Linked DNA regions of Elephas maximus indicus. The protein of the gene in region 1 interacts with the protein of each later gene in a pairwise test. Links are inferred from orthologs where the notes say so. Each region holds a gene or a part of one and is shown in the gene's direction. Other genes may lie near its edges.

Evidence for each region.
Region 2: the proteins of CREB3L1 (region 1) and FXYD6 interact in binary tests that used the Homo sapiens proteins (3 or more experiments, as listed by UniProt). The two-hybrid records come from large-scale screens. The link is inferred for Elephas maximus indicus from reciprocal best matches to the Homo sapiens genes CREB3L1 and FXYD6.
Region 3: the proteins of CREB3L1 (region 1) and PLP1 interact in binary tests that used the Homo sapiens proteins (3 or more experiments, as listed by UniProt). The two-hybrid records come from large-scale screens. The link is inferred for Elephas maximus indicus from reciprocal best matches to the Homo sapiens genes CREB3L1 and PLP1.
Region 4: the proteins of CREB3L1 (region 1) and TMEM11 interact in binary tests that used the Homo sapiens proteins (3 or more experiments, as listed by UniProt). The two-hybrid records come from large-scale screens. The link is inferred for Elephas maximus indicus from reciprocal best matches to the Homo sapiens genes CREB3L1 and TMEM11.

The regions. Positions count from the first base shown.
Region 1 is NC_064825.1:101,759,545-101,767,246, forward strand, and holds the start of CREB3L1 (cyclic AMP-responsive element-binding protein 3-like protein 1), read left to right. Parts: upstream 1-4,697; 5' UTR 4,698-5,162; coding exon 5,163-5,264; intron 5,265-7,702.
Region 2 is NC_064835.1:10,219,267-10,227,216, reverse strand, and holds the start of FXYD6 (FXYD domain-containing ion transport regulator 6), read left to right. Parts: upstream 1-4,949; 5' UTR 4,950-5,057; intron 5,058-7,950. UniProt on the Homo sapiens protein: Associates with and regulates the activity of the sodium/potassium-transporting ATPase (NKA) which catalyzes the hydrolysis of ATP coupled with the exchange of Na(+) and K(+) ions across the plasma membrane.
Region 3 is NC_064846.1:54,511,473-54,519,258, reverse strand, and holds the start of PLP1 (myelin proteolipid protein), read left to right. Parts: upstream 1-4,785; 5' UTR 4,786-4,979; intron 4,980-5,869; exon of another isoform or gene 5,870-5,960; intron 5,961-7,786.
Region 4 is NC_064820.1:216,394,507-216,402,264, forward strand, and holds the start of TMEM11 (transmembrane protein 11, mitochondrial), read left to right. Parts: upstream 1-4,753; 5' UTR 4,754-4,824; coding exon 4,825-4,886; intron 4,887-7,758. UniProt on the Homo sapiens protein: Plays a role in mitochondrial morphogenesis.

The DNA.
Region 1 (7,702 bases):
CAGAGTAGAACTGCCCCATAGAGTTTCCAAGGAGCACCTGGTGGATTCGAACTGCTGACCTTTTGGTCAGCAGCCATAGCACTTAACCACTATGCCACCAGGGTTTATCATCAATCATATAGCGCACCATTATTTTATATATTCTAAGAATGAAAGAAAATGCTGCCATTTAAACTCTGACACACCATCGATTAGAAGACATTCTCATTTCAGAGATGTTGAAAAGTGAAAAAATGTGCATCTTAGAGTCAGTGGAATCCAGCGCTTATCTCATCAGCTTGTTCCAAGAATTAAACAAGATAATATAAGTAAAGTATTTAGTGCCTGGCACAAAGCAAGTACTCGATAAATGTTAGCTATTTTTATGACTCAGGGCAGGGCAGGGAAGGGACCACAGACCAGGGGATGAAGAAAAGTCCAGAGCCTGAAGCCCACCCTGCTGTCCTTGGCAGGGTGCCGCCACAGCAGGGGGCACAGGGAAAGAGGCCCATTTTCGGGAGCCACAAGAGAACAAAGGGCCCCGTCTGCGCCCCGGAAGTCAGCCTAATCTCCAGGATGAGTATGTTTTCATTTCTCAGAAGTTCCTGTTAGAACGTGCCAAAACGTTTTCCCTTTACAATCCGGGCAAACAAGGCAGGTTTACTTTGGGCAACCTTCTCGCCACCACCCAGGACCTGCCTGCCAAGTGTAAACAGCCCGCCTCGCACCTTCCTCAAGGCTTGGGGCATAAGGCTGTAAAACTGAGAAGGCAGGCCCTCCGGCCCCCACCTCCCCCGCTGCGGGACCCTGTCCTGGTTGGGGCATGTTGGGAAGATCCTTGGAGAGGACAGGACTCTAGGGGTCATGAATGAACACCTTCCCCATTTTATTGATGTGGAAACTGAGACCCAGAGAAAGGCAATGACGCTCCAGGTGTGTCAAAATGTAGCAGTCCCCAGCCAAGAAGCCTTCCCCCACATACACACAGCCCTGCTCACATAGCTCAGCCTGGCAGCTTGCTCGCGTGTTCTCTCTCTCTCTCTCCCTCTCTCTCTCTGCCTGGCCCCCAGTGCCTGGGACAGACAGGAAGCTTATCTCTGTCCTTTCCGCTCTGTGCGTCACTGACTGGGCTGGGGAGTCTTTATGCCTGAAGCTTCGCCTCACAGCTGGAGCAGCTGCTGAAAAGCAGAGACCAGGTGTTCCTGAGCCAGAAGGGCTGTGCTCCCTTATTTTCTCTGCCTGGAGTATTTGGGAGTCTGAGGGTGGTGTTTACAGAACGAACTTTGGCCTCCTTCCTCAGACCCCATCTTTTCGTATGAGGGGGGCTGTGTTGTGGGACCAGGACCAGGGACTGGCAGGAAGGAGAGCAGACCCTCCCTGTTGGGTCAGAACCCAGACTTCAGACCCCATGAGCTGTCCAATTTCCTGTCCTGGAAAATCTTTAAGAGACTATTCGGAATGGACACAGTGCTGATGACACCCTACAGAAGCCTCAGGTGGGCTCTCTCGTTTGAACTGGCACAGTTCTCCTCAATCCTTGTGTGGAACACAGCCTCACTCCTTAGTGTGGCCCTAAGGTTCATGTAGGGGCTTGGGGCTTCACAGTCATCATCGCCCTCCAGGCCCCTCCCTACCCTTCCCAGTTAGGCCTTTCTCTCTCCTTCTCTTCTACTTGCTGTTTCCTCTGCCTGGAACGCTTTTCCCTCCATTTTGCTCCATACATAACCTCAGTTCACAGCTCAATTCACCTCTTCAGAGAGGCCTTCCCTCCCCGCACAGTCACGTCACACTATGATATTCCCTTCAGAATCCTTATCAGTCTCTGAAATTATCTTTTAAAAATTACTCACCCCTACTTTCCTCCCCTGCCCCAGTGCCTGCACGCCCACGTTCACTCTGGAATGTACGTTCCTCATCAGTATCATGTCTCCAGTGTCTGTTCTAGGGACTGTTCATAATAGGTGCTCAATAATACTTATTGCATGTGTGAATAAATCTCCTGCCAGCCTCATTTCTGCTGAGCTTTGCCATCCCCTTCATTCCAGAAAAAAAAAATCATGCTTCTACTACGTGCCAGACTCTGCCCTGCCCGTTCTCTCTTCTCTCCTCCTCCCACCCCTCCCCCAGGACTCCTCTTAGGGGATCTTGCCTCTCAGACTCCACAGAAGGTGCCGGAACCAGAATGTCTCCCCAGGATTATTTTCAATGGTTTCCTGGGGTGTTCACCTGGGTAAGAATCAGGAAAGAGAGGACACTCTAATCCTATTTATCTAAAACTATATAATCTTCCCCAATCACTTAAATGGTGCCTGTGTCTCTAATTACAGAGCAGGCTGGGAGGAACACAGGCAAAATTTCCAGCCCACCTCAGGCAGAGGGGCACTTTTGTTCCTCCAGAGGGCCTGCGGGGACTCCAGCTCAGGAGCCAGGACTCCAGACACCTGCTGCCACAAGCTCACCCACAACAGACTGGCTTGTTCATCCAGTCAGAGACTGCTCCTCCCACCCTGAAAGTGATCAGCCACATTGAATGGTCCCCAGTTGGCCACATGTGAGACCAAACCAAAAAACCAAACCCAGTGCCGTCGAGTCGATTCTGACTCATAGCGACCCTATAGGGCAGAGTAGAACTGCCCCATAGAGTTTCCAAGGAGTGCCTGGCGGATTCAAACTGCTGACCCTTTGGTTAGCAGCCCTAGCACTTAACCACTACACCACGGGAAAACACCCACAGTCTCAGCATCCTAATTCTATGTACCACTGTTTTGAGAATAAACTGGTGTGTTTTTTTGTTTGTTTTTGGCTGAGGGGGATAGCCTAAATTCTCAGGTCCCTGGGAGGTGCCAACGGTCCACACCTGACTGTTAACCTAAAGGTTGGTGGTTAGAACCCATCCAGAAGCCCATGGAAGAAAGGCCTGGAGATCTGCTTTCATAAAGACTGTTGTTATTGTTAGTTGCCATCGGAATAGACTTGACGGCAACAGGTTTGGTGCTGGTTTTTGTTTTTAACTTCTCAGGGTAGTGTTGCTGGTGAACTGGTCCCCAGAGCATGGCCTATAATCCCAGCTTCTTGGGAGCAAACTCTCCAGGAGGCCTGGGAGCTAACAATCGTGTGACAGCCTGGAGGGTCAGAGCTTCACTACCCAGAACTGTGTCCACTGGGTCATGAGTTGGGGGAAAGCCACATGCCTGCCTGCCCGCCCCAGGCAAGCAAACAGCCACTCTCTCAGCCCCGGTGTGTGCTCTTCTCCCACCTTGGCACCGAGAGAACAATTTCAGTGACATCCATGGCTTAGGTGCAGTGACATCTCCACTTCTTAAAAGGCCTTTTCATTCCTGAGCTAATTAAAAGCCCCAGAAAAGGAGGAAACACTTAATCCTATCAATGACTTCTGAGCTGGAGGAGCTGGTGTGCCCAGCCCTCTGAGGGAGCGCCTTTTTCAATCACCTCCATTTGTTCAGGTGCCTGGTAATTGTTTATCAGCCCTTTCAAGAGATTAAGTTGTACATAGTAGTGGGCCACTTAGCTGATGGATCCAGGTGGCCTGGGAGTGTCCAGGTGACCGTGGAGCATGCAGCCATCCAGTATCTTGGCTCATCCAGACTCTAAAGCCAGGATAGGCCTCTGGCAGAAGAGATTGACACGTACCTGCCAGAGGCCTATCCTGGGTCTGAAGAGTCCACCCTGGTCTCCAGCGACTCATCATCTCAGCACACACTTTGCCTGCACACATGGAATCCGCCTCTCTCTCCACAAATGCCTTCACCTGCTACGAAACACAGGATGTCACTCAGCCAAAGGCTCCAACTTCCCACTCTTTAGAACCATTGTTATTGCTGCTAATTGCTGTTGAGTTGATTCTGGACTCATGACAACCCCATGTGTACAGAGTAGAACTGCTCCATAGGATTTTCAAGGCTGGGACTTTTCAGAAGCTGATCGCTAGACTTTTCTGTTGAGTTACCTGTGGGTGGGTTTGAGCTGCCAACTTTTTGCCTAGTAGACAAGTGCTTAACTTTTGCGCCACCCAGGGACTCCTCCACAGAACCGTTAGGGGCACTTGATGACTGATGAGAGGAGGGGTCCTCCCCTCATCTCTGCTGTTCAACCGAGCCTTTCACACACAGGAAAGTTGGATACAGTCCTTGCCCTGAAGGATCTCAAAGTCCAGTGGGGTCAGTGAGGGAACAATGATAGTACCTCATTAGATTTGCCACAATGGAGGTAAGCACACGGTTTCCTGTGAGTGTATAGGGGTGGTAACTGCCCCAGCCTGGAAGTCAGGGAAGGTTTCCTGGAGAAGGAGACACCTGAGCTGAGACACTAAAGATGAGTCAAGAAATTGACTATATCCTCATTGAGGGAGCTCTGTTGAGAGACCGTGAGATGGAATCCCCTAACCGTGGGTTTGTTTCAGGTTTTAGCATAAGGCTGGAAGAATGGAAAAAGCAACTTCCTCATCAACTTATGGGAGAATAGTTGGCAAAGCCTAAACAAGGTGTCGAGACCCCAGGAACATTGTTATAGGCTCCAAGACGCGTTTGCTTCAAGCTCCTACCTACCTGGAGCATTCAGAGAACAGAAATTGACAAGGGAAACCAGGTTGCGGATGTTTCTTTAAAAGAGGAGTGATGTTTCCTCAAACCCTGCCCCCTTCTCATGAATATTAAGCTATTGTGAATATTGATGTGGGGGCGTGGCGCCCTGGCCGGCTGGACTAACCAGCCCGGGGTTCCCGGTTTCACAGTGGGGGGGAAAGTGACAGAAGCCTTGTGGAGGGAGACGCGGAGAGAGCGCTAGCGCCCAGCGCCCACCCAATCTCGGGGGAGCGCTTAGCTCCCTACCCCGGCTCCCATCCTGTCCAGGGGGCTCCCCAAGCCCTCAGCCCCACCCCTGGGCTCCCCATGGAAGCCAGCTGTGCCCCGGGAGGAGCAGGAGGAGGAGGAGTCGGCTAGATGCCCACGGTGCGCCCGGGGCCCCTGAGCCCAACACGCTCGGAGCCGCTGTCCTGAGGCCCCGCGCCCTGAGCCCCTCAGCCCGGGCCGCCTGCCTCCCACTACCCCTCCCCGGGGGCTTGGCCCCGGACCTGCCCCCCGGCCTCCTGCCAGCTCGGAGCGGAGCGCGCAGCGGCCCTGGAGTGAGGGGAGCCAGGCCGAAGGGGGTCCCCGGAGCCCGCCGCGATGGACGCCGTCTTGGAGCCCTTCCCGGCCGACAGGCTGTTCCCCGGATACAGCTTCCTGGACTTGGGGGATCTAAACGAGTCTGATTTCCTCAACAATGCGGTAAGATGGAGGGGGGGTCTGCGTCCTCTTCCCGCCGCCCCGCACCTCTCTTCGCGGCGCGCCTGGGCCCCCCGGAAGGACCCCACTATACACATTACTGGGCAGGAGCGAGGGAGAGTTCCCTGGAGGGCCCAAGGGTATAGGATCTCCTGGAGGGACACGTGCTCTGAGCGCTGAGATTTGGCAGCTGGGTCCCTTGACACTTCCGTAGACACCGATCTTGGACCGGAGCCTCCGAGCTCGCCCCAGCGCGCGTCCCTCCGGGGGCTCGGACCATGGATACTTTCGCCCTGGCCTTCTAGGGCAAAGGGACGTCGAGGCGTCGGGGCTACTCAGTCCTGGGATAGGAGCTTGAGACACCATCCCCCCACCACTTCATCTAGCCGTCCTCCACCCACCCCGGGCTTCTGGAATCAGCCTGGACGAAAAGTGGCGGCGCCCTTTCCTGCGCCCCCTTTAGGACCTCGGTGGCTCAGCGTCTGGTTTTCCGCTGGGGGGCGCACAGCGGAGCATTCAGAGGGCCAAAGACCCGGCTCCCGCGGTGGGTGGGGAGGGCGGCAGAGACCCGGCGCCCCCGGAGGCCAGAGCCAGACCCGGAAACTTAGGGATGCAGCCGCGGCTGCTTCCCACAGGGAGTCGGGCCTGAGATCCCCCGTGGAGGAGCCCAGCTGGTCGGGGTAGCACAAGGTGGCACTCAGGCAGGGGAAGCCTCCCTCTCCATCTGTGTCTCTGGGTCACTGCTCTGTGTCCCTGCCCCTCATGTCTTGCTGTCTCTGTCTCCCTCCCTGTGTCTTCACGACTGTATCTATCTCTGGATTTGTCTTTCTCCTCTTGCTCCCTGTTGCCTCCCTCCCTAAGGAAATGTGGCTTCTTTCTTTCTCTTCTTCCCTCCCTGTCTTCCTTCTCAGGCTCAGCCCTAAGGCCCTGAGGAGGGCCATGGGCTCAGTAAAAGGAGAAATATTTGGGTTGGGGAAGGGAAGGTGCTGCCCTATGACATGAGAGCTGCTTGAGGAATCTGGTGGGAGCCCCCTATTCTGTGAACCATCAGTCCCCCACTCCCACCCCCCTACACAGCCTCAGTAATCATCTTGGGGATCTCTCCCTGATGGCTTCTACCTCCTCAGAATAAGATAAACTGGGCCAGACAAGTACGAATTCCACAGAGACTTATAGGGTTGGAGAGCCTGGGCCTGGGCATCTTAGACTTCCACCAGAACTGTCACAGGCCATTTGACTAATGGTGGAGAAACCGAGGCCAAGAGACAGAACCTAAGTCAGGAAGGCATAGGATAGGGTGTGAGGTCTCCCCCATCTCCATTAGCCAGCAAATCTTGGTCACCCTGCTCCCTGAGAAAGGCCCCTTGCCCCAGTCAAAGCAGAGGAGGGAGAGACCTGGCGCTGACAGCGGGAGACCTAGGTTCTAGTCCTGGCTCTGCTGACTCTGCTTGTGAGCTTGGGCCAGGTCACTCACTGCCTCCCTGGCCTTCGGCTTCTTTGTCTGTAAAATGGGAGAAAGGTTGGATCAAGTCTTTCTAAGAACAGTTCTGGCGTAGATCCAAGGAATAAACCAGTAGGTGCTGGGAGTCCACACACTCCTGGGGTCGGTAGGAGGTACTGGTCAGAAGGAGAAGGTTTGTTGGCGCTGGGATCCTGGCAGCCAAGGAGGGCCATGGAACCAGGATAGGCCCCTGGTGATCTTCCCCCAGCCCTCTGCAGCTCTGAGTTGGACTTTCTTCTGAATGAACTCTGCAGCCTGCACCTCTTCCTTCAGCTCCATTCAGCCCTGCGTCCCCAGCTGCTCATTTGGGCCTCGGTCCGGCGCAGGAAATCAGGCAGTGGTGTCCAGCACTGGGGCTGTGGTGAGGAGAAGCCCTGCTGGGGAGCCTCCTGTGCCTAGAACCTGCAAGGCTAGGCGAGATAGAGGGAGAAGAAGGGGCATCTGAGGGGAGACAGAGAAAACCCTGGGCTGAAAATCTGGAGATTGGTCCAGCCAGGCCAATGCAGACAAGTGGCTCTTCTTCCTCGGGGCATTAATTTCCTCATCTGAAAAGTGGGGGGCTCTTAGAAGCTTCACCACAGTGTTGTGGTAGAGACTTGGTGAGAAAATGAATGTAAAGGACTTAGCACAATGCCTGGCATGTAAGAGTCCGTAATCACTAACTCATCCCAGAGACTGGATGAGAAGGAGCTCTAGTGGCTCAGTGGTTAAGCACTCGGCTGCTAATCAAAAGGTCGGCACTTTGAACCCACTAGCTGTTCTGCTGGAGAAAGATGTGGCAGCCTGCTTCCATAAAAGATGACAGCCTTGGAAACCCTGTGGGGCAGTTCTACTCTGTCCTATAGGGTCGCTATGAGTCAGAATCAACTCAGTGGCAATGAGTTTGGTTTGGCTCGGTGGTAAGAGGTACTCAGCTAGAAGTTGCTGTGTGAGCAAGTCA
Region 2 (7,950 bases), on another chromosome or scaffold:
TTATAATCTAAGGGGGACATGGGGAGGGCGGAAGCGGCTGTGAGGAGTTTGGTGATGGATTGATTAGGAGGAAGGCCCTGGGGTTTACTTGTCTGGGTCTCTGGGGAGAGGACCAGGCTGGAGACTGTGGGGCCATCAGCCCTAAGTGGGATGGTAAAACCACGGTCGTGGATTACATTGTCCAGGAAATATGTAAATGACAAATTGCCCAACAAAGCTATCCAGGGAGAAGTGGAGGAGTTCGAGAAAGAAAGGTCAGGGTAGGAGGGGTCCAGGATCAGGAGTGGCTTGGAAGTGATAAGAGCTCTATTCAGCCAAGGAGTTAGGAAAGCACTGTTCTGTCCTAGACACTGGGGCTCATCATTTGGCTGAGGGGCGAAGACACACACTCAAACTTGGACAGAGCAAAACCAGTTGCCGTTGAGTTAGTTCTGCCTCAGGACGACAAGGTGTGTGTCAGGATAGAGCTGTGGCCCGTGGGGTTTTCCCAAGCTGGTTTTTTGGAAATAGATCACCAGATCTTTCTTCTGAGGTGCCTCTGGGTGGACTCGAACCCCCAACTTTTCGGTTAGTAGCTGATCATGATAGCCATTTGCACCACCCAGGGACTGTATGAAGCAAAGTGAATGCGAATGGCACAAAGCAGCAGTTTGTGAGCTGCAAATGGTCCGGGCCAGGTGCTGCCTGGCAGGGTCTGCTCAGGTTCTACAGTCTACGCCCCGGTATGAAATGACATCTCATAGCTTCCCGTGGCCGCCTTGGACAGTTACCTGCTAGGAGTGGCAGGGGGTGTTCCCTGATACTTCTGGTCTCCCTTCTTGTCAGTGGCTGGGTAACCCAGGCACTAACTTGTCGAAGGGCTATTTTTGCCACAGTACAAGTGGCACGAGTGCTATCCAGATGGGGTTTTAACTACACAGTTGTAGGGTACTTAGCTCAGCACAAGCTTGAAGTGTGGAGCAGTCGCTTCCATGCCCAAGGATGATGCTATCCTCTTAGTCCTAGGTCTTCCCGTGGCTCCAATTTGGGGGTGGGTAGGAATGGTTCCTGTTCTTTCTTGATCTCCTTCCACCACTGCTGTGAACCTCTTTGTATCTTGGGCCTCTAGAAGAGCCTTCTAGAAGGACCCTCTAGCCCTAGAGAACGACCAGGCCTACTGCTCAGCAAGTTACCACTGTTTTCCTCACAGTGCCCTGAGCCCTGACTGCGGGGTCCGTCATTCTTGCTTGTAACAGTTTTCTTAATGTCTTTCAGTGGCTTCCCACTGCCCTAAGGATAAAAGCTGGAATCATCCAGGGACTACCAGGCCTGCCCTAGCCTGACCTCTGCTTCCTTCTCCAGCGTTCCCACTCTGCTCTATGGCCACACTGGCTTCCTCCTGCCTCAGGGCCTTTGCCCATGCTTCTTCTGTTCCTGTGGCAGAATCGTTTCTCAGCCCTGCCTGGCACACCAACTCCTGGCCCCTTCATTTCATCCTCCTGACCCTTCAGCTTGCTTCTCACATGCTACATCCTCAGGGCCCTGATCAGTGTTTTGATGACACACTTATTGCAGGACTATTTGATGAATATCTATCTTTCCCATTAGGTATACTTCACAAAGGCAGGGACCGTGACTTTACTGTCACCACTGTCTCCCCAGAGCTTGGTCCAGGGCTCAGCAGAGTGGCTCCTCAAATCAGTTAAATGTGTTGAAAGAATGGTAGCAACTGGTGACCTCTTTTTATCCAGACCTGCATTTTTCATAGGGTAGATGCATTTCTTTTTCCGCTAGAAGGGAGACGTGACCCCCCCCCAGAACAAGCTGGTTTGTGACTGTAACATCCCAAATTCCTTCAGCAGTGCCCTGGGATGGAATGTGAAGAAGCACTATCTGAGGTCAAGCCACGACTGTTCCTCATGTGAATGTGGCTGCTACTATCCTGTCACTGGTCTGCAGTGACAGGCAAGGTGACATGGGGGTAAAGTGGCCAAACACTTTAGAATTCCCTGGCAGAAAAGGGGCTGGCACCAACAGGTGGCCCAGCTTTGGAGTCCTGACCCATTGGCCCTTCCTTTCTCAAACAGGTCTGCAAAGCCTAGGTTTTTTACATGTCCTCACCAATAGGATCCCTGAAAGGAACACAGAGAGGTGGCCAAAAGGCAGACGTCAAGGGTGCCTGGAAGGGATTCATCTACTTGCCCAAGGACATGCGCCTAGCAAGTGGTGCAGCTTTGCCTCTCCCACCCAGAGGAAATGCAAAGGGGATAAGACAGTTGTAACAAAGTGCTCAGTTAAAAAAGGAAAAAACAGAGGAACAGAACGATTATTTGGTCTGTTTAACGTCACAGAGCTGGGCAAGATTTGAGGTAGAAGAGCTTTACCTTTTACCAGAACCCAGAGTTTGCAACTGGGCCACAGCGGGGTCCATTCTCCTCAAGGGCTTGTGCTAAAGGGGCCAGACTTGTCTTCCCAAGGGTTGCCCTGGTGGGGCTCTCTTCCCCTCTCTTTCTCAGTAGTCATTTATGGTTCCTCTCTCTACTGGCTCCAAACATACTCAAATCCTTCTTAAATTAATTTCTCTCTTATGCCTTGGGGTATTGAGACTCAACCATTTATTAAAATAATTAAATCATCTAGGGTTAGAATGGCATCCACCAGACGGAGTCCAGTACAACAAGATGGTGCCTGGCTACCACTGCTGGCTGCTCTGACAGGGATCACAATAAAGGTTCCCGGACAAAGCCGGAGAAAAATGTAGAACAAAACCCTAGCTCACCAAAAAAAAAAAAAAGAGGAGACTTACTGGCCTGATAGAGACTGGAGAAACCTCAAGAATATGGCCCCCAGGACACCCTTTTAGCTCAGTAATGAAGTCATTCCTGAGGTTCACCCTTCAGCCAAAGATTAGACAGGCCCATGAAACAAGACATAAAGCAAGACTAACGGGTCACGCCAGTCCAGGGGCAAGGACTAGACGGCACGGTTTCCAGAAGGCAGGAGGAGACAGGAAACCTGGTCATAGGGAATCCCAAGGTAGAGAAGGGAGAGTGTTGACATGTCATGGGGTTGTTAACCAAGGTCATAAAACAATACGTGTACTAACTGTTTAATGAGAAGTGAGTTTGTTCTATAAATTTTCATCTAAAGCACAACACCAACAAAAAAAAGAACTTAAGTAGAGTCTATTAGAAAAAGTATTTTTTGGGGAAATATGGAACTAAATACTTGTTCACTGCTGCTCCTTCAGTGATAGCACAATTCCTGGTGTTCAGTAAATCTTTGTTGAATAAATGAACAGAGTGCTACAGCAGGATGAGTAATGGCCCCCGAAGATATCCAGACCTAATCTCTGGAACCCGTGAACGTTACCCTGTATGGTGTAAGAGATGGTGCATGTGTGATTAAGTTAAGGATCTTGAGCTGTGGAGATTACGCTGGATCATCTGAGCGGGCCCTAAATTAATCACAACTGTCCTTTTTTGTCCTTATCAGAAGGAGGCAGAGGGAGATTTGACTATACAAGAAGAAGGTGGCTATGAGATGACAGGCACAGGGGAAAGATGGCAATGCAGCCACAAGCCAAGGAAGGATGCTGGCCTCCAGATGTTGGCAAAGGCAAGGAAACTTTCTCCCCTAGAGCCTCCAGAAGGAACCAGCCCTGCTGACACCTTGGTTTTATCGCAGTGAGACTGATTTTGACTTTGGAAATATAATAAATATGTGTTGTTTTAATAAATAAATAAATAAGTAAATCATCTAGGGTTAGAGCTGAAAGGGACTGTGGGGAATATTTAATCCTCACCCTTATTTCACAAATGAGAAAACTGAGGCCCAGGGCTGGGGATGTGGAGGCAGGGCTGGGTCTCCTGATCCATTACCCAGCTCTTCCTAGAAGCATCTATCACCATAGGGTTTGGGGTTTGTAAGGAAGACCCTGTGGCCCTACCCAGACTTGGACTGTCACAGTGTCTTTCAGGACTGCCCCCTTTTCACCCCTTCCCTCTCACATCTTGGCTCAGGCTGAGCAGCCTCCACCCACTTTCTGGGTACTACCAGCATGGCTGCCCCTCGCTGTGTTCCTGTGGTTTCTGCCTGTGCCTGGCCTTCCTGTCTTCCTACAGGCTCTCCTCCCGGTAGTCACAGCCAGTTTTTCAAGCGCTCACCGTGAGCACTGCGCTAAGCCTTCCAAGAGGTCAGTGTTAATCTTCGCCATTTTCACATGAGGAAACTGAGGCTCAAGAGGGTCCTTCTGTGATTTGCCCAAGATCACGGAGGCCAAATCTAAAAATTCGCAGTTGTCATCTGGAACTTTGACGCGTGAGGACTGGAGTGGAGCGGGGCTTGAACAGGGAGCAGTGAGGGGACCGAGCTGTGGCCTGAGAGTGGGGTGGGGGTCTTGAAAAGCGGGCCTGGGTACATCTGTGGTAGGGATGAGGGCCCCGCCGCCAGCACCCCACCTGGCTCTCACTGAAAATGACAGCTACAACCAGAGCTGGCTCCTGCGCCTACGACACTGCCATTCATGCTTTTAGTTCACTTCCCCTTAATTGCCAAGGCTCCCAATTAACGTGGGTTGCTGTGTCTGGTGCTGCGTTCTTTTCTCTGATTTTTCCGTTCCCCTCAGTTTACTATTTCACAGAGTCACTGGCTCTGGCACTGTGTTTGTCTCGCTCCCTTCCCACCCGCGCCAGAGGAAAACCAAAAAGCAACAGCCGGGCGCAAATCGCTCCCGCGCCGCACGCCCCCACGGGCAGGCTCCTGTTGCTTCTCCGAGCGCCGCTGGCCTCGGGAAAAACCGCCCAGACGGAGGGCTGCGCGCGAGCCGGAGCGGGCCGGAGGCAGGGGACGCGGCCCGCGGCCAGCAGCCAGCCGACGCCGAGGCACCGGGCCAGGGGCCCGGCCCCCAGCAGCCCCCGCCCGGCAGGCCGCGCCCCTCGGGCCCCGGCGCCGCCGAGCGGGGAGGCGGGAAAGCGCGGAAGCCGCGCCCAGCGCCCGCCCCCAGCCCAGCCACTCCCCGGCGCCTCGGGGCTCGGCACGTCCTCCAGGATCGGCTCCCAGGGGTCCGGGCTGAGCAGGTAAGGCGCTGGGGTGGGGCGGGGAGGCCGGGTTAGGTTCTTCTTCGAAGGAGGGCAGGAGGCTCGGGTGGGACCGACCCCCGGGAGCGGCGGGCTTTGTCTGTGACCGTGGATGTGTGCGGTCCTTCGTGGCCAGCGGCCGTCCTCGTCCCCGCCTGAACAGCTGGAAGCGGGTCTGGGGATGTAAACAAGGAGGTGGGCGTCGGAAGGGCCTAGGAGCCGCCGAGGGGAGCCAGGTAGCGCGGTGCGGGTGAGGCTGGTGACTGGCAAATGCTCAGGATGCTGCCTTGAGCTTGGGGCTATGGTTTTGGGAGAATGGCAGGGCGGCTCCCACCATGTCTTATCCGGAGGGTGTTTTTCCTTTGTTACTTGGAGGCTGTGGAGACTTGGCGTGGGGCGTGTGGATGTGAGGACGAGGGAGTGTGAGCACACGAGCCATACAAAATGGAACTTGCTTGTTTGGTGCGTGGGGGTCATGGCCAGGGATTGGAGCTGGGCAGCAGGCAAGGGGGTGGGGGCAGGTAAAGAAGGGCCTGGAGTTCCAGGGTATGGGGATTGAGGAGAAGGTCTGCATCAATTTTTTCCCCGGTTCTTCTTTCCAATCTGTTTTCTTCCCAGGGTGGAGGGTGGGGGGACCCAGTCCTATTCCCTCCTCTCCCTCATGTCCAGCCCCTCTTTCCTAACAGGGCTGACCTCAATGGAGCCAGGAACCCTGTTTCCCCCACTGTTTCCTTGGGCTTCGGTGGAGAGTTGGCTGAGCAGCCTGGGTCTCCTGGTGCTTGCTTCCAGCTGTTACAAGTGGTGGCTGGTAGAGAAAGTGCCCAAGGGTGGGAGCAGAGAGCAGCCATCCAGGAGAAATGGATCTGCCCATCCCCTGCTGCAAGCCTCCAGGTGCAGGGGCTGTGGCAGCCAGGGGCTTCTCCCACAAACGTGGCCTCTGTCTTCACTTCCTTTGTCTCTTGGCGTTGTGCTCTATGGCCGGGCCAGAATTTCCAGGCTTGGAGATGGATCAGTGGGCAGCCCACTCTCTCTATGACAGAACCTGCACTCTGGAGCTCAGCCGCCCTCACATTGTATATGTGTGGATGTGTATATCTGTTTCCGCAACTTAGCCTTTTGCATGTGACCTGCCTGGTGGTTGCCATGGAAACTCCTCTCTAATTCTCAGCCTCCCTCCTCCTTTTTCTGCCCATTCCTCACCTCCATTTCTCTTCCCCTCCCCCCAATATGGTTGCCTGGATACTGGTTACCCTGGCTTCTCTGGATTGGAGACCCTGGATCTCAAGCTCCCGCCCTAACCTGACACGGCCCCTTACCACAACACGCACATGCACACACCACTTCACACACACCCTATAAACGTACTCTTAAACACACACCCCACATATATACTACACACGCTCTGTAAGTACACCCTCACACATACTCCACACACACACACCCCCCACATCCTACTTGCCACGTAAAAAAAAACCAGTACTCCATAAACACAACCTCACACACCAGACACACATATCACACTTGTATCCTGCACACACACCACCCACAATGCTACACATACACCCTACCTCATGCTGTGCGTGCTCTTACATGCTGCCAATAATAACATGTACCATCACCTTCCTCAGCACACACCCCTTCTTCCCTCTAAACAGGTCTCAGGCTGGGATGAGGGAAGGAAGACAGAGGGAGTTTCCTGCCTCATCTACCTCTATGCTCTGGGGGGTGAAGATGTGGAGGCTCAGGAGCCTAGAAGAAAAACCTTAGCATCTCCCTGGGTGCCCTGAAGAAGGTGGAGGAAAAGTTGCTTCTAGATTCCCTCAAAATCAGAAACCCTCTCCTAGGTGCCAGACTCGAGCCTAGACGTGGACCAAAATTGCTTCTGTATGCAGTGGGCCCAAACATAGCAATGATCTTGAGGCTGGCTCATGGCTGGACAACGTTTCATTCCATCGCACATCCTCGCCTCCATATGATCTTGAAATCTTTCGACAGATTCTCTTAAGTAATGCACTCAGCTGCTAACTGAAAGGTTGGCAGTTCAAGTCTACTCAGAGGCACCTTGGAAGAAGGCCTGGTGATCTACTTCTGAAAAATTAGCCATTGAAAATCCTGTGGATCACGGTTCTGCTCTGATACACGGGGTTGCCATGAGTCGGAATCAACTCAATGACAGCTGGTTTATGTGCTAGGTGACATATTAATTGCTGGGGACAGATGGTGAAGAGGGAGACACGGTCCCTAAGCTCAAAAGCCTAGATTTCTCAGAGCTGGAAGGAGCTTTGAGGGAACATGCAGTCTGGACATTGTAGATGGGGAAACTGAGGCTCAGGTCACATGACAATAGGGGCTGGGGCCTTCTGACTCCTCAGCCAGGAGTTTTGACCCTACACTGCCTGTACTGTATTCCTTGCCATCCTTCCTTTATGACCATCAGCCCTCTGGAGATTGGGATGTTCCTTATAAAGTGTGGCTCCTCTAGTGGGCAGGGACCATCAGAGCACCTGCTCTTTTATGTTTACTTGGAAGGTGAGGCTGGAGGGTACAGCAAGGCTGTGGAGAGGAGCAGCTCCCTAGACCCTGGGAACTCCCCACAAGCCATGGGTGAGTCAACCTCACCCTAGATCTGCCCTCCCATAAACCAGAACATGTATTCTCCCCACCCTCAGCCCCGCTGGATTTAGTCTGCTGCCATCTGGATGGCAGACTGCCAGGTAGCCCCCAGGACTCATCATCTAATGAATCACCCACACTAGCTTCTGCCCCAGTGCCCTGGAGGAAACAAACCCTCATGAAAGGCACAGCCTGAAGGAGGCAGAGAGCCTGGAGGCTCAGACGTGGGTTCTAGTCTTAGCTGTGCATCCCAAAGGCAAATGCATTCATTCCACAGAGA
Region 3 (7,786 bases), on another chromosome or scaffold:
TCTCTTTAGCATGTTATCACGAACATCTTTCCACGTTAGCACGTACCTACCTCATTCTTTTTCAACAGCCACACCGTACTCTGTAATTTTTATGTTCCCTAGTTTAACCAGTCCCATATTAATGAACATTCAGGTTGTTTCCGATATTTCATTATTTAAAAAAAAATGCTGTAATAGTACAGCTTTATTAGAGCATGAGACTAAGTATTTCTGAAGACTCTGTTCCCAGAAGTGCAACTGTTTGGTGAAAGGATTTACTTATTTACAACTTTGATAAGATAAAGCCAAATGCACATTAAAAAGAACTGTTTCAATTTGTATTCCCAGCAAAAGCGCAAGTCATTTCACCAACCTCCTCGACAACCGTAGATAAACATCTTTTTTTTTGGGGGGGGGGACCTCTTTTTTTTGGGCAATCTAATGGGTAACAAGGCATTTTATTTTAATTTGAATTTTTGTGATACAGAGCATCTTTTCATATGCTCGTTGGCAATTTCTTTTTTCTTCTCTGCTGGGTTATTTGCTGCTTATTAATTTCTACTAATTAAGTTTTTTTGAGCTTATGTTTTGGAATATTTTTTCCAAGCTGCCATTTGTCTTTTTGTTTGTGGTGTCTTACTTTAAGAATTTCTAAGAAATCACTGACTATACTATTTCCTAGTATTTTTATAGTTTTTCTCCTACATTTAAATCTGTAATCATCTAGAATTCATCTTTGCATAAGACATTAACTTTTCTCCAAACACACAATGAACTTTTCCTCATCTCAGTTACTGAAGAGTCTACCCTTTCCCCAGTAATTTGAAATGCTACTTTATTAAATTCCCAGAGGTATATGGGTCTTTTGTGGTATTCTCTTCCCCATGTTTGATTACTCAATTCTCAAAGGCATCACTATTTCTAGGCTATCTGTTCTGTCCGTGATGTCTGATTATTCTCAAACTGGCATCACACTGGTTAATTACATAAATACTGTTCTAGAATAACACTTGTAAATGTGTACAAAGAAAACTATGTAAGGATGTTTGATGCAGAATTATTTGAAGTAGCAAAACACCACTGTCAATCTCCACTCTGGCAAAATAAAAAGTGGTATATCCATGATATGCAATATCATGCTAGTTAAAGGAATGCCACTGTGAAAGGAATCGAATAGAACTGTGTGAATGGACATGAAGAGATCCAAGGGAAACTGAACAAAGATAGCTAGTTGTAAAACAATACTTATGGTGGGACACCATATTTGAGTAAAAAGAAAAACACAAAACAGTATTTTATATACATACATAAACATCTTTAAAAGAGGTACACATTTTAGGGATCTAGAAGGAAACAAACCAAACCGGTTAACGGTTACCTCTGGGGAGGGTAAGAAAATTGAGGGTGGCTAAAAAGAAAACCTAAGCCTACTGTTAGATTTAAATTTATAAGGAGAATGTATTCACATATTGATTAAAAATTAAATTAAAAATACATAGTTTAAATTCATGATAATAATCTGAGCTATTCTTATCCATGGATCTTACATAGTGCTAAACTATTCAGTTAGTTATTCTTGCTTATTGTGTACTCTGTAGGAGCACCATTCAGACCGGTTTCCCTCCCTCCTTCTAGGTTCTGCCCAACCTCAGAGGCTCAAGTCAAGATCCATTTCTTCCTCAAGGCTTTCTCCATTTCAGGCCACCCTGACTGATACCTTCTGTGACCTCCTATTGGCCCCACAGTACACCCTGCTCCCTTTAGCCTTTAATCATTCTCCAAATGGCCTCATGTAGAGGGTTTATCTGTCTACTCATCTAGTACATCTCTTCCACCAGGGCAGTGCCCTCCTCTGAAACCTAGCTTTTGGAACGGAGAAAAATAAGCAAAATACAGTGACTCCATGAGAAAATGAAGCTGTCAAGAGCCTGCAAACCTTCCTTCATCTCCTCAAGCACGGGATGAACCATTCAGGAATGCAGACTCCAAATGCTAACACCTTTGTGTATGCGTGTGCCACAAATGAGTGTGAATAGCACCTCCTTGTTTGATGGACTAAACCTTCAAATGCACATATACCAAGTCAGTTTCATTTATATCAATCCTCTCTTCAGGATCTTGGAACATCTCCTTCATGTGTAACCGTTTGTTATTTTTTTTTTCTAGACCGAGGACAAAGGAGGAATGATATAAAAGCTATCAGCGAACTGAATATGGTGTGATTTGCTAGTTGCCACTTATGTTAAAGTCATAGCTCCTGGGAATACCCTGATAAATATGTGTGATCAATACATTTAAAACCTTTCTAGACTGTTAGGACAAGCCAGAAGTCAAAATTTCAGAATTCAGTTCTAGTGGTAACGCTGCTTCTAAAAAATCAGGAGAGAAACCAACATTATTAATTTTTTTTTTGCAATTCCAAAGAGAGGTATCTACTGCATTTAGAAGCATGTGTAAGTGTGTGTGTAAAACAGGATGTATCAGAAGGACTAATCATTATTAAAGTACCTACATGTGCCAGGCGCCATCCTGGTACTTTACATTTAATTCTTACAACAATCCTATGAAGTTGGTACTATTACTTCTATTTTACATACGAGGAAACGTAGGTACAAAGTGAGTAAATATCTCGCCCAGGATCACAGAGTAAGTGGCAGAACCAGGATTTAAATTTAGGAAGACAGTATTTGCTCTTAACCACTAAACTATGCTGCATATAGGATACCCCAAAGTAGGAAAAAAACCAACCAAACAAACATATGGATTTGTGGAACTAACTATAAGGCATCATTTGTAAAATCTTTCATCAAGGGATGCAAGATTATATAAGCCCTCTCTTGTTTAGGCCTCTATATCCATTTTCTACTCTGGAAGCACCAAAGGGTTTAGCTCCATCCTTCCCTTTCCCAGATAAGGGCTTATTAATGTTCTAAATATTCCTGGACATTTAGCAAGACTATGTGGTATTATCTTGTTTGAGGACTGAGGCCAGGAGAAGGGAAGCACTTACCCAAGATTCTGTAATGAGGGATGGTTCTGTAATCAGGATCAGATCTTCTGATCCTTACTGTGCAACTAACTTAGCTTTTCTGATGATGACCTAGAAGGTCAAAGAAGGGGACAGGAAAGGACATAAAATAAAAAGATATCAGACCACGGTTTTCTTTTCCATCAATCAATGCATTTTATCACACACAAAGAACACCAAAGCTGATAAATATGCACAAATATTTTTTTCTTTCTTGTGGTTATATTTTCAAATCATGTACATTTAACCTATTTTTTAAACAAACTAATATTTAAAAACCATTTTATGAAGGAAAAAAAATCAAATGGACAAAAATTTAGATAGAATAGTATCACCAACCCACACGAATCTATCACCCAGCTTCAATTACCAACTGAAGGCCATCTTGTTTCATCTATAACCCCACCCACTGCCCCCCCTCCAATTTTTTAAGCACCAAATAGCTGATTTTTTATATTTCATTATGGAACATTTCAAACATACACTAAGATAGACAGAGTAATAACAGTCAGCTTAAACGATTTTTAACTTCAGGCCAATTTTGTTTTATCTACAGCCCTCTCCGCTCTCCCCTTCGCAGAAATTATTTTGAAGCAAATCCTAGTCGTCAACGTATTTCGAAGCCAATCCCAGACATTATATTATTTAATCTGTGAATATTTTAGTCGATATCGCTACAAGGTAGAAAATTTAAAACCATAACCACAGTATCATTATAACGCCTAAAAAATGATATAAATTTCTTAAAAGCCATAAAACATCGAGTCGGTGATCAAATTTTCCCTATGTATCTTAAACAACGTTTTACAGTTGTGTTCAAATCAGAAACCAAACAAGGCCTACTCATCGCATGTGGTTGATCTCCAGCTCGCTCTCGTTTTCAATCTTTTTTTTTTTTTACTTTTCAATTTGGAAAATTTCAATCCTATTCCGAAGCAAATCTCGGCGTATTGTTTCATCGATAACAATTACGCCTCTTACATCTCTAATTTCTTCGAGGGAAGTTGATGGGCAGGGAAGGCACTATAATGAGCGAATTTACATAATACATATTTTCTCATTCTGTTATGTGAGGCTTTATCTCCATAGTAATAATAATATCTACAAGAGCCAGGCTTCGTATTGAGCGCCTTATACGCACTATCATACTTAACCCTCGTACACGTCTCTGAGGTAGATACTATTATTATCACCATTTTACAAACATGGAAACCGAGATACAGAAAGAATCGGAGCCTTGCCCGAGCTGGGCGTTGGCGAGCAGGAATTTGAACCAGCTCTGACCGATTGTAAAGCCAGTAGCTGATTCTGTCTGTATATGTGTATATATATACCTTATACATACACAGGATAAAGGGAAATCACCAACCCTTCCTCCCCACCCCCACCCCGAAACCTGAAACGAGAATCCAGCTCTTCCCAACAGCCGACGTGTGATCACTGCCGTTCCTCCAACCGCCATAGTAAAGCCAGGTTTCTCTGGCAACTGATATCCATAGGCAGACACGTCATCCTAAAGGCGGGCTTATGCCCTTCAGCCAATCACATTCGTCTTGTCTAAGTTTTAGAATGTTCTATAACCAAATGATTGGACGAGGACTACCACGTAAGCAGTGACACTTAGCCGCAGTAAAGGCGGGTGCTAGTAACCTGCTTCTTCACGGTTAAGGCTCGGAGCAAACCAATCACCTTCCTTCTTTACTGTGAGCTGCAGCCAATCACATTCGCCCTCTTAGGTTCTTAGCCCACCCTCCAAAAGCGCGACAGCCTTTGGGTCATAAGTCTATAGAGCACAGTGTTCACGTGGCCTATTTTCACGACCCAGAGTTCCCTTGACCAGAAGGTTTTTTTTTTTTCTTTAGAGAGGCATTATGGGTCCCCCCCGCCACACTGGGAAAGGAAGTGTCTACGTGGCCTGCGGAAACGGGACGGCGGAAATGAGCTAAGGTTCCCGCCGGTGGGGAAGCGCGAGGTCAAACCTGGGGCCACGCCCCCCAACCTCTTGCGCAACTCGGGGGGGGGAGGCGGGGGTGTTTTTAATATGCGTGTGAGTGGAGGCGGCGGGTGGCTCGGGCGCGTGTCGTTGGGGCCTGTGTGTGTGCGCGCGCGCGCAGGCGAGCTCGCGTGGCCTGGGGGTGTGCGCCAGCCTGCGCCCTTAGCTTTGGGGCACGGTGTGTGTCCCTGAGTGGGGTTGGTGTGAGTGTGTGTGTGTTTACCTATAGGTGAGCTGCACTATGTTAAATTTAGGTAATAAGTGTGTGGGTGTTTATTATAGCAATTGTTCTCTACTTTTGTATGTTTGAAAATTGTTCTAAAAAAAAGGAAAATAAGTCAAGCGGATAATAACAAAGGGCCTCTGTTATATGAAGTATTTTGGTTTCTCCTATTGACTCAATTTTAGACCCTTCCACGTTTTGCTCGGTGCCAAAATCCTGCTCTAAATCACATCTCCCCATTGCACAAGAGCCAAACCCTCCCGTTCCTCTATTAGCAACTCCAAGGGGCAGCTCCTTTCATATTCCCCAATATCCTCCTCCCATCCCCGCCCGCCCTTCCCCCTACCTTCCCCCGCCTCCCGCCCATCCCTCGACTCTTCTCTCCCTTCCCCCCCTTCGCGCCCTTTCCCCCTCTCCATTGTGTCCCCCGTCCCTTTTCCCCCCTTCTCAGGACAGCTCCCTGCTCCCTGCCCCTCTCTCCCATTCCCACCCCTTTCTCCCTGCCCGCCCCCTAGCCCCGCTCGTCCCCAAAGTTGCACGCAATTCCCCTAGTACAAATATAATTTTCTGCTGGGATAATCAATATACGACTGCCTCTCCCTTCACGAAGGACCGTAAATTTCTGTGGCGGCTGAGGAACTCTTACCTTTTTGTCCTGACCACCAAGCACAGTGCCCTTCAAGCGAGTACACACACAATTAATTTTCCAGAAAGTTCTCTGGATGAGGTTTATACCTCTCAAGTCGGCCACTAGATGTCGCCAAATCCTAGCAAAGGATTGGCTATTTGGTCCCTGGAATTATGGGATTTTGTCCTCCCGTGTTTCTGATTTGCTGAACTCTCCAATCTCCAGTGAGTATATCTTTCTTTCGTTTCTAGGGGGAAAATGAAGCCAACCTCTGTAAATGGCCCTAATAGGCAGGGGACCATGGCCCAAGATCCAAATGCTTTTCTTGTTTCTTTCCTTCTTACCTCATCCCTTAAAATTTTTTTTTCCTTCCTCATTCCTCTGTCTTCTTTCTTCCATGCCTTCTTTTTTTAGGGAAGTGATGAATGATACTAGGCACTGATGCTGATGAAGATTCTACCCTTTCTGTTCACCTTCTTCTCAAATGTTAACAACCCCCCAAAACAGTACACAGAGGGCTGTTTAGTCCGTAAAGATAGATTAAAAACTCTGAGGTAAAACTTGGATCTGGCATTGAAAACTGATCTTTTCTCATGACAATTTTATCACACGTGTGTATGTGCAGTGGTACTGCTAAACTTTATTATGTCTTTGGAGCCAGAGACCTTTTAATCTCTATGTCACCACTTTATAGCCCTGTGACTCTGGGCAAATGATTTATGTTCTGTGATTCTCAGTTTTTTGCATGCTTTCTATATTTTAGATGCGGTGTTGACCTCACATGGATATTCTCATTTATTCCTCATAAAATCCCTTTTAGGTGGGTACTACAAAATCAAAATCCAACAACAAAAATCATTCCTCTTTGAGTTATCAATCATATATACATTATGTGTGTATGTCGGTCCGGGGTCGTTTAGAGCAGTGGTTCTCAAAGTATGTTTCCTGAACTAGCAGCTTTAGCATCACCTGGGAAGTTGTTAGAAATTCGGATTGTCAGGCCCCACTCAGCCCTGTTGTCTGCCGTTGAGTCGATTCTGACCCATAGAGAACCTTTAAGACAGAACTGCCCCCATAGCGTTTACCAGGCTGAAATCTTTACAGGAGCAGATAGCCAGGTCTTTTCTACCGCAGAACTGCTGGTGGGTTCAAACCACCGACCTTTTGGTTAGCAGCCAATCACTCAACCACTGAGCCACCAGGCCTCCTCACTTCAAACCTACAGAATCAAAAATTCTTGGGGTGGGGCCTGGCAATCTGTATTATTAGAAGCTGTCCAGGTTATTCAGATGCACACTAAAATTTGAGAACCAGCGCTTTGGAGGGCAGAAATGCAATGCTTATTTTGCACATACCACTAGAGGGTGCTACAGAATTTAACGCAAGATAATAAACAATTAATTTTTTTATGCTTATTGAGACACTCTGGATTAGGAACTAATGTGTAAAAAAAAAAACCCAGTGCCGTCAGGAGGTGTCAAATTATTTCCCCAAGTGCACAAACAGATATGGGAACCAGGATTTGAACTGTATCTGCCTCTCAATCCTAGCCCTTAACATTATTGTTCAATTTATAGCTTGTCTCTGGGCCTCAAAACACATTACAAATACTTTCTCTCTTCCTTACTTTGGCTAATGTTAACTAGAGAGACAAGGAAGGGCAGGGAAGCAGATCAATTAAATGGAGATATTTTGATGATTTTATACCCTTCTCCATCTCCATTCTATAATTGGATATCACATAAAAGCTCATGAGTGTTTCCCTTCTTGCTTTTGTATTTCCCAAATGCTCTGTCTACCCTGAAGTTGTTTCTTTTTTAGTTTATGTCTGAATCTCTTCCATGTGTAAGGGAGGAATCATAGTGCTGAGGGAATAAAAGTTCTCGAAAGCCTAGTATGGACCCCACTATATAGATCTATACCCATTAATTTCAA
Region 4 (7,758 bases), on another chromosome or scaffold:
GAGCAGGCTGCCAGGTCTTTCTCCTGCAGAGCTGCTGAGTGGATGCGAATCATCAACTTTCTGGTTAGCAGCCGAGCACTTAGCTGCTGAACCACCAGGGCTTCTTTGGGTATCCTTGTTGCACTCTTTTTCTGTCTGATTATAGTTGTTGTTGTTGTTTTTAATAATTTTTATTGAGCTTTAAGTGAACGTTTACAAATCAAGTCAGTCTGTCACATATAAGCTTATATACACCTTACTCCATACTCCCACTTACTCTCACCCTAATGAGTCAGCCCTTCCAGTCTCTCCTTTCGTAACAATTTTTCCAGTTTCTAACCCTCTCTACCCTCGCCTCTCCCCTCCAGACAGGAGATGCCAACACAGTCTCAAGTGTCCACCTGATACAAGTAGCTCACTCTTCATCAACATCTCTCTCCAACCCATTGTCCAGTCCCTTCCATGTCTGATGAGTTGTCTTCGGGAATGGTTCCTGTCCTGGGCCAACAGAAGGTTTGGGGACCATGACTGCCGGGATTCCTCTAGTCTCAGTCAGACCATTAAGTATGGTCTTTTTGTGAGAATTTGGGGTCTGCATCCCACTGATCTCCTGCTCCCTCAGGGGTTCTCTGTTGTGCTCCCTGTCAGGGCAGTCATCGATTGTGGCCAGACACCATCTAGTTCTTCTGGTCTCAGGATGATGTAAGTCTCTGGTTCATGTGGCCCTTTCTGTCTCGGGCTCATAGTTATCGTGTGACCTTGGTGTTCTTCATTCTCCTTTGATCCAGGTGGGTTGAGACCAATTGATGCATTTTAGATGGCCGCTTGTTAGCATTTAAGACCCCAGACGCCACATTTCAAAGTGGGATGCAGAATGTTTTCATAATAGAATTATTTTGCCAATTGACTTAGAAGTCCCCTTAAGCCATAGTCCCCAAACCCCCGCCCTTGCTCCGCTGACCTTTGAAGCATTCAGTTTATCCCAGAAACTTCTTTGCTTTTGGTCCAGTCCATTTGAGCTGACCTTCTGTGTATTTGAGTATTGTCCTTCCCTTCACCTAAAGTAGTTCTTATCTACTATCTAATCAGTAAAAAAACCATCTCCCACCCTCCCTCCCTCCCCCCCGTAACCACAAAATGTGTTCTTCTCAGTTTATTCTATTTCTCAAGATCTTATAATAGTGGTCTTATACGATATTTGTCCTTTTGCCTCTAATTTCGCTCAGCATAATGCCTTCCAGGTTCCTCCATGTTATGAAATGTTTCACAGATTCCCCACTGTTCTTTATTGATGCGTAGTATTCCATTGTGTGAATATACCACAATTTATTTAACCATTCATCCTTTGATGGACACCTTGGTTGCTTCCAGCTTTTTGCTATTGTAAACACTGCTGCAATTGTTGTCGTTTTTAATAATATTTTATTGTGTTTCCAGTTTACACAACAGTTTAGGTTCCCATTCAACAATTTCTACACGAATTATTCAGTGACATTGGTTACATTCTTCACAATGTGTGAACATTCTAGTTGTTTCATTTCCATTACTCTAGTTTCCCCGCCCCCTTACATTCTCATCTTTGTTTTAATTGTTGACAGTTTAACCTCATATAGATGATTTTTTAAAGGAGCACAGTATTCACAGGTGACATTCATTGCCCTCTTTTTGCTTCTCCAGCCCTTCCAACATGCTGTAAACAACACACTGCATTAAGGTCCTTCTATTTGAAATACCTAGGGTGTTTTGTTTTTTCTAACTAGACACTGACCAATGTAAGTAAAATTATCCCTACTTTACAGTTGAAAAAACTGAAATTTAAAGAAAGGAAGTATCTCAACAACAAAATAAATGGAAATTAAAATGGGAAGTAACCTAAAGCAAACCAAGTATGTGCTACCCTTTCCTCACTATACTCCAGCCACCTTGTTATTGGAACGTATCAAGCTTATTTGCACTCCAGAGCCTTTGCATGTATTGTTGTCTCTGCTCATGACAGTCTGTCTCCAGCTCTTCATAGAGCACACGCTTTCTCTTCATTCAAGTCTCCTGTCCCTCCAACTTGCTCTATTACATCTTCCTATTTGTTTTCTTCTCAGTACTCAGTACTCTCTTAAAGTATTTATTTATTGTCTATCCCACTGGAACGTAAAGTCTATGAGACCAGAAACAGTATTTGTCTTACTAAATGCTTTACCTTTAGTGCCTAAAACAGTGCCTAACAGAGTATGACTCAATAGTTAACCGTTTTAAGAACGAATGAATGAAAAGTGTGGTAAGAAAAGCACCAGCTCAGACGTGCCTGTCCCACCAGCTGCCTGTCAGCAGCAGATCAGGGATCTCTTTAGGGGTCTCCCCTGCATGGGAACCCATAGGAATTCCAGTTCCTACAATTCAGGCTGTGTCCTCAGTACGTGCTTAGTTCATACATGCTGAATGAGTCAACCTGCCTACGAACCTTTCAGAAGATGTCTATACTCTAGTGATCAAGTGACAACATTCTGGGGATTTCAACTCAAGTCAGCAGATTGGAAGCAGATGGCTATTTAGAAGTTGAGGGCATAGTGGAAGAGCTGGGGAGTGGGAAGGTCATCCTGGGTCAGTGGCTGTTTAAGCACTGACATTTACTTTGTGCACTGGACAGTCTTGGAACCCATCTGTTCTCACTGAGGAAGACAACATTTACAGAGCTCTTCTTGAGACACAATAGAGCATAGTGTAAGCTCTGCAGCTGGACAGCCTGGGGTGAAGGCAATGTGACCTTGGCAAGTCACTCAAGTCCTCTGTAACTCTGTTTCCTCATTCGTGAAATGCTGGTAATAACAGTATCACTTTCACAAGGCTGTTGTGGAGATTAAGAGAATTATATTGTTTAACATGTTTGGAACAGTGCTTGGTATTACATAGCTATCAGCTGTTACCTTGCGCCAAGCATTAACATAAGTTCAATATATGTTACCATCTCATGTAATACTCATAGCAATCCTCTGAGAGGAGGTACTAATATCATCCTGGTGTTATTAACAAGGAAGCTGAGAGAGGTAATGTAAGAAGCCCTAGATCCAGATGTGTGGAGCCATGCTTCCAATCCAGGTGTTCTAGAATCCCTAGTATGGCCTCTTAATCACCACGCTATGTAAAGCTCCAGGTCCTGAGAAAAAGACAGACATGTCCATAGATAGCAACAAGGTACTATGCTAAGTGTTCAGAGGTCTCTGGAGTGTGCTACACTTTGTCACACCAGTGCTTGGTGCTCTCCAACTGGGAAAGCAGGTACTTCCTAGAGATCAGATAGGCTCAAGGTCTTGAAGCATAAAATCTGGCCAGGAGGGAAAAGCATTTTAGGCAGAGCATGGGACATCTGGAGACCCACAGATCCTCTGAATTTACTAGAGTGTCAAGTTCCAGACAGGAAAAGGAGGCATTTGAAGCTGGAGAGGTAGGCAGCAGCCAGATTAAGGAGGGCTTCTAGATCGTGCTAAGGAGCCTGGACTTTATCCCGTAGGTAAGGAGCGACTGCGAGGGAACTTTTAGCAGATAAAAATATTGTAGCGTGGGAGCTGGAACGAAGTCCGGAGGAATGCTCGTTGATGAACCTCTTCACCCTGACAGTCTCCTGCGTTGGAACGCGGAGTTCCACCTGGCTGGAGTGCCAAGAGCGAGAGCAAGAGCAAGCTTACTCCCGACTCTGAATCTGAATCCGATTTGGCATGTAATAGTTACTCAATGAATATTTATGAACCAACGAATATGTCTAGTAATACAGTTTGTGGGAAGCAGGAGAGGGCCTAGCAGTTCAGACCCCCAAAATGCCCATAGGTCTGAGGAAGCTGCATCTAGGAATCTCTGGGCTTCCGTGAGTCCATCCTGACCCCGACCCTTTAGAGCTGTGTCCAGGCAGGTCCTGGAGCAGGGTTCCTGGCACGTGGGAAGACCTGCCGGGCATACGGTTTCAAAAACACCGAAATAAGAGGTTACATTCAAGCCACTGCAGACAGCAGAGGGCGTGTGATGTGTGGTAGGGCCTGAAAAGGCCCCAGCGGCCCTATCTAAAAGACCCCTGGCTTGTTTTTCTCCATCAGAGAACCCTATTTCCCTGGCAGCAATTATCGCAGACTGTAGGGATTTCTCTTCTGGCTTTCAGACTCTCTCCTCCAGCTCCGTGACAGCAGGGGCCGCGCCTGACTTGGTCTCCAAAGTGTCCCCGGAATCCAGACAATCTGGGCGAATGGGTCCGAGCTGCGCCTCCTGCCCCTCAATGACCTTAGGGAGCGGAGGCGGATGTGAAGGGCATGTCCCGCCGTCTTCGCGTGGGGCGAGGCCGAGGGGCCCGAGCTGGGCCCGCCGGCGCAGCACCGGGAAGACGAGCGGCGCGCTTTGGCCAGACCAGGCGGAGCCGCAGAACCAGCGCGACTGCTAGTCCGCGGCCGCCGCAGGGAACGCAGCGCGGCAGACGGCGGGCAGGGCGAGGGCCGCCTCCCGCGGAGCATGCTGGGAGCTGTAGGCACTTTCCTTTATTTCTCCCCTTCACCTACTTGCCCTCGAGAGCCAAGGACAGACAAGCGGCGGGCGCCTGAGTCCCCAGGCTGCGAGCTTCGAGAGTTTAACTTCTAAAAGCGCCCTGAGAGCTGAGTCTCCCGGCGGCCCGCCCCAACGAGGACTACGTCTCCCAGGAGGCAGGAAGCGGGGCTTCCGGCGCGCGGTGCACTGTGGGTGTTGCGGTCCGGCGCTGTGCGGCCCCGGCGTCCCGGCTGCCGCGGGGCTGCTGATGGACTACAGTTCCCTTCGGTCCGCAGCAGCCTGGGGTCCGCCTTGGCGCCAGGCGCTTGCGAGCAGAGTGTCTCCAAGATGGCCGCTTGGGGAAGGAGGCGCCTTGGCCCGGGCAGCAGTGGCGGCAGCACCCGAGAGAGGTGAGGTTCGGGTCTTGTTGTTTCTCCGGGGCAGGCGCCTCAGGAGCCGTGGAGCCCGCTGGGGCCTCCTAGAGCAGCAGCGCTCACCCGGCCTCAGCTCTCAGGCTCCGTCTTCCCGCCCGCTCTCCTCGTCCCCCACCGGGCACGCGGGGACCCAGTCCGGGAGGATCTGGTACACGGGTGGGAACCGGCGCCCGCTCGGGCCAAGCCAAGGCCAGCTTCCCAGGGCGCAGAAGTGCGGGGACTCAGTGGATGGGGTGGTGGCGGGCCGGGCGAGGTGGGCCGCGACCCGGCCGCGCCGTGTGAAAGGGCCGGGGCCCCCCGCGCAGGCCCCAGAGTCCCGCCTAGCCACGCGCACGTCCCCCGCGGCCCTCACCGTGGCGAGGAATGGCTCCCGGGACGGGTTTCTACTGGTGGCGGCCGGGTTGGAGGGAGGAGGAAGGGGACGCAGTGACAGAAGCAGGTCAGCTATGGAGAAATTGTGCGAACTTGCACGTTTGCGGGGGGCGGAGAGGGAGCCCTAGCCGGTCGAGATGCGTCTGTCCCCGGCGGAGAGACGGCCTCTTCCTCTAGGGGCGATTCTTGGACTTTCTGAGGGTTCTCTGCAAGCGCCCCTGTCGTCTAAGTCCTTTAAAGTGACCTTTCCTGATAAACGGTGTGTGGTTAGGGAGCTAGGAGCATGTTTCTTCCAGAGTGGATGTCTGTCTGGATAACTGGTTTCTAGAAAATGAAATCGGAGTAGTTTTTGTGTTTAATGTTGGATTTGCAGTTGTTGCTTATGGAAAGCAGTTGCAGCTACTAGAAGCCATTAGAAGCGTTCAGCTACTAGGAGTTCAGGAGAGGACGTGTGTTGGTGGAGCCATCCAGCTTTAACTGTCCTATCCATTCTGTTAGGGTCGATTGGCGTAGCAGAAGTTAGCAAGAAAGGAAAGTTTTGTTTTGTTTTGCTTTTTGGCAAGGATTGTTAAACAGAAAAGTTCTCTCTCAACTACTTTTCTTTGTCTGATTCCATCACGTTTTCATTACTGTTGCCTGCAAATGGCTTTCCCGGCTCAGAAGATTCTTCCTGTTTGGCAGTTGTGGTAGAATTCTTCAGCTTAGTTTTGTTCTTGAGCTCAGAGTTATCTAATACTGGCCATTCTGCATTTCCTCTTCCTTGGAAGCGCGGTGCCAAGCAATTTTTTTTTTTTTTCCCCTAATTCCCACCGGGTATTTCTTAGAACGACCATGGAAAGAAGCTACCTTTAGGTTTCCAGGTGGCCTTAAAACTAACATTTTCAAGATGTTTAAGGCAAACATTAATCTGTTAGTAATTGGAAATAACTTCTTAGGGAAAAAAGGCACTCTTCCTCACTGCATAAAAGCAGCTGGAAGGGCCAAGTGGGGATGCCTCCAGCATGGTAGGTACAGGACCAGTGCCAGCAAACTTGAAGCAAGAAAATAGAACATATTGGGGATTTTTTTTTTTTTTCCTTGCAAACCAGCAGCCTATAGGGTGAATCCGGCCCTTAACTGTTGACCATCAAAAAAATTTTTTTTCAATTTAATTTTATTTTTGATGAAAATACATGCAACCAAGCCGGCTCCTATTCCACAGTTTCTGGACAAAATGATCAGTGACATTAGTACATTCTTCACATTGTGTTAACATTCTCTCTATTTCTGTTCTAGTTGTTTCACTTCCATTTACTTAATCTCCCTGCTCCCCAATTTTCTTATCTATTTTTTAAAGTAGTTGTTGACCCTTTGGTTTTATATACCAAGATTTTTTTTTTTTTTTTTTTTAAGAAACAGTACTCTTGGGTGACAATCTTTACTCTTTGGATTAAACTGTTACTTAGTTTAAAGGTGACTTAAGAGGGTAGTTTCAGTTCAAGGTTTGAAGATCAACTCAGGGCCATGGTCTTAGGACAGAGCCTCAGTAGGTTTAGTAGTTCTGTATTCTTTAAGAGTTTGAAGTTCCATTCCACATTTTTCTCCCCTTTTATCAGGATTCATCTGTTGTGTTCTTGATCAGAATGTTCAAGAGTAGTAGCTGGGCACCACTAGCTCTTCTAGTCTGGAGGTGGAGGAGACAGTCCTGTTGCCCTGTTCCTTCTCTGATTCTTGGGTTTTCTTCTTTCTCTTTTGTTCCCCAAAAATAAGGACCAATTGTTGTATCTTAGGTGGCCACTCGTAAGTTTTTCAAACCCCAGACCCTTCTTACCATCCTGGGAGGTAGGACTTGAACTTTAAGAACTATATTATGCCAGTTGACTGGATTGTCCCAGAAGACCAATCGAGTATCCCACAAGACCACGGCCCTAAGCCCCCAGACCAAGAGAATGAATCCTTCGAGGTGATTGGTTATGTCTAATTAGTATTAGCATCTGTAGGGTCCCCCCTCTTTTTGGGTGGTTGTTACTGTTGCAAAACCATACACAACCTAGCATTTGCCTATTTATCCTTTTTCCCTGTTGGCCCTCAATTTTTAAAACAATTAAATTAGTTGCCAACACTTATAGATTGAGAGATTTTACATAAAACTTTCTCAACAAGCTGGATAGAGGCTGGCTGTTTTGGATAGAGCACGTGCTCTCCAGTTCCTGCTTGACTGCCATGTCAAGCTTGACTGCTCCCTGTCTGACACCTTCACTGGCAGGTCTCTGTAGGTGTTCTCGTTGCAAACTTTGGCCTGGAACTGAAGGCTGTATTCACACACGTGGATATCACGTGTCCCTCAGAAACGGGACATCTGATTTTGTGGTTTGGGTGGGTCCATTGCCCTCCTTCCAGATAATATGGTATGGCTGTGGGGGGACCCTTTGTTTCCCTTCGCCCTGAGGCCCTGACCAGGTTCAGCTGGAATCCTTTGCCTGAGCCCATTTTTCAT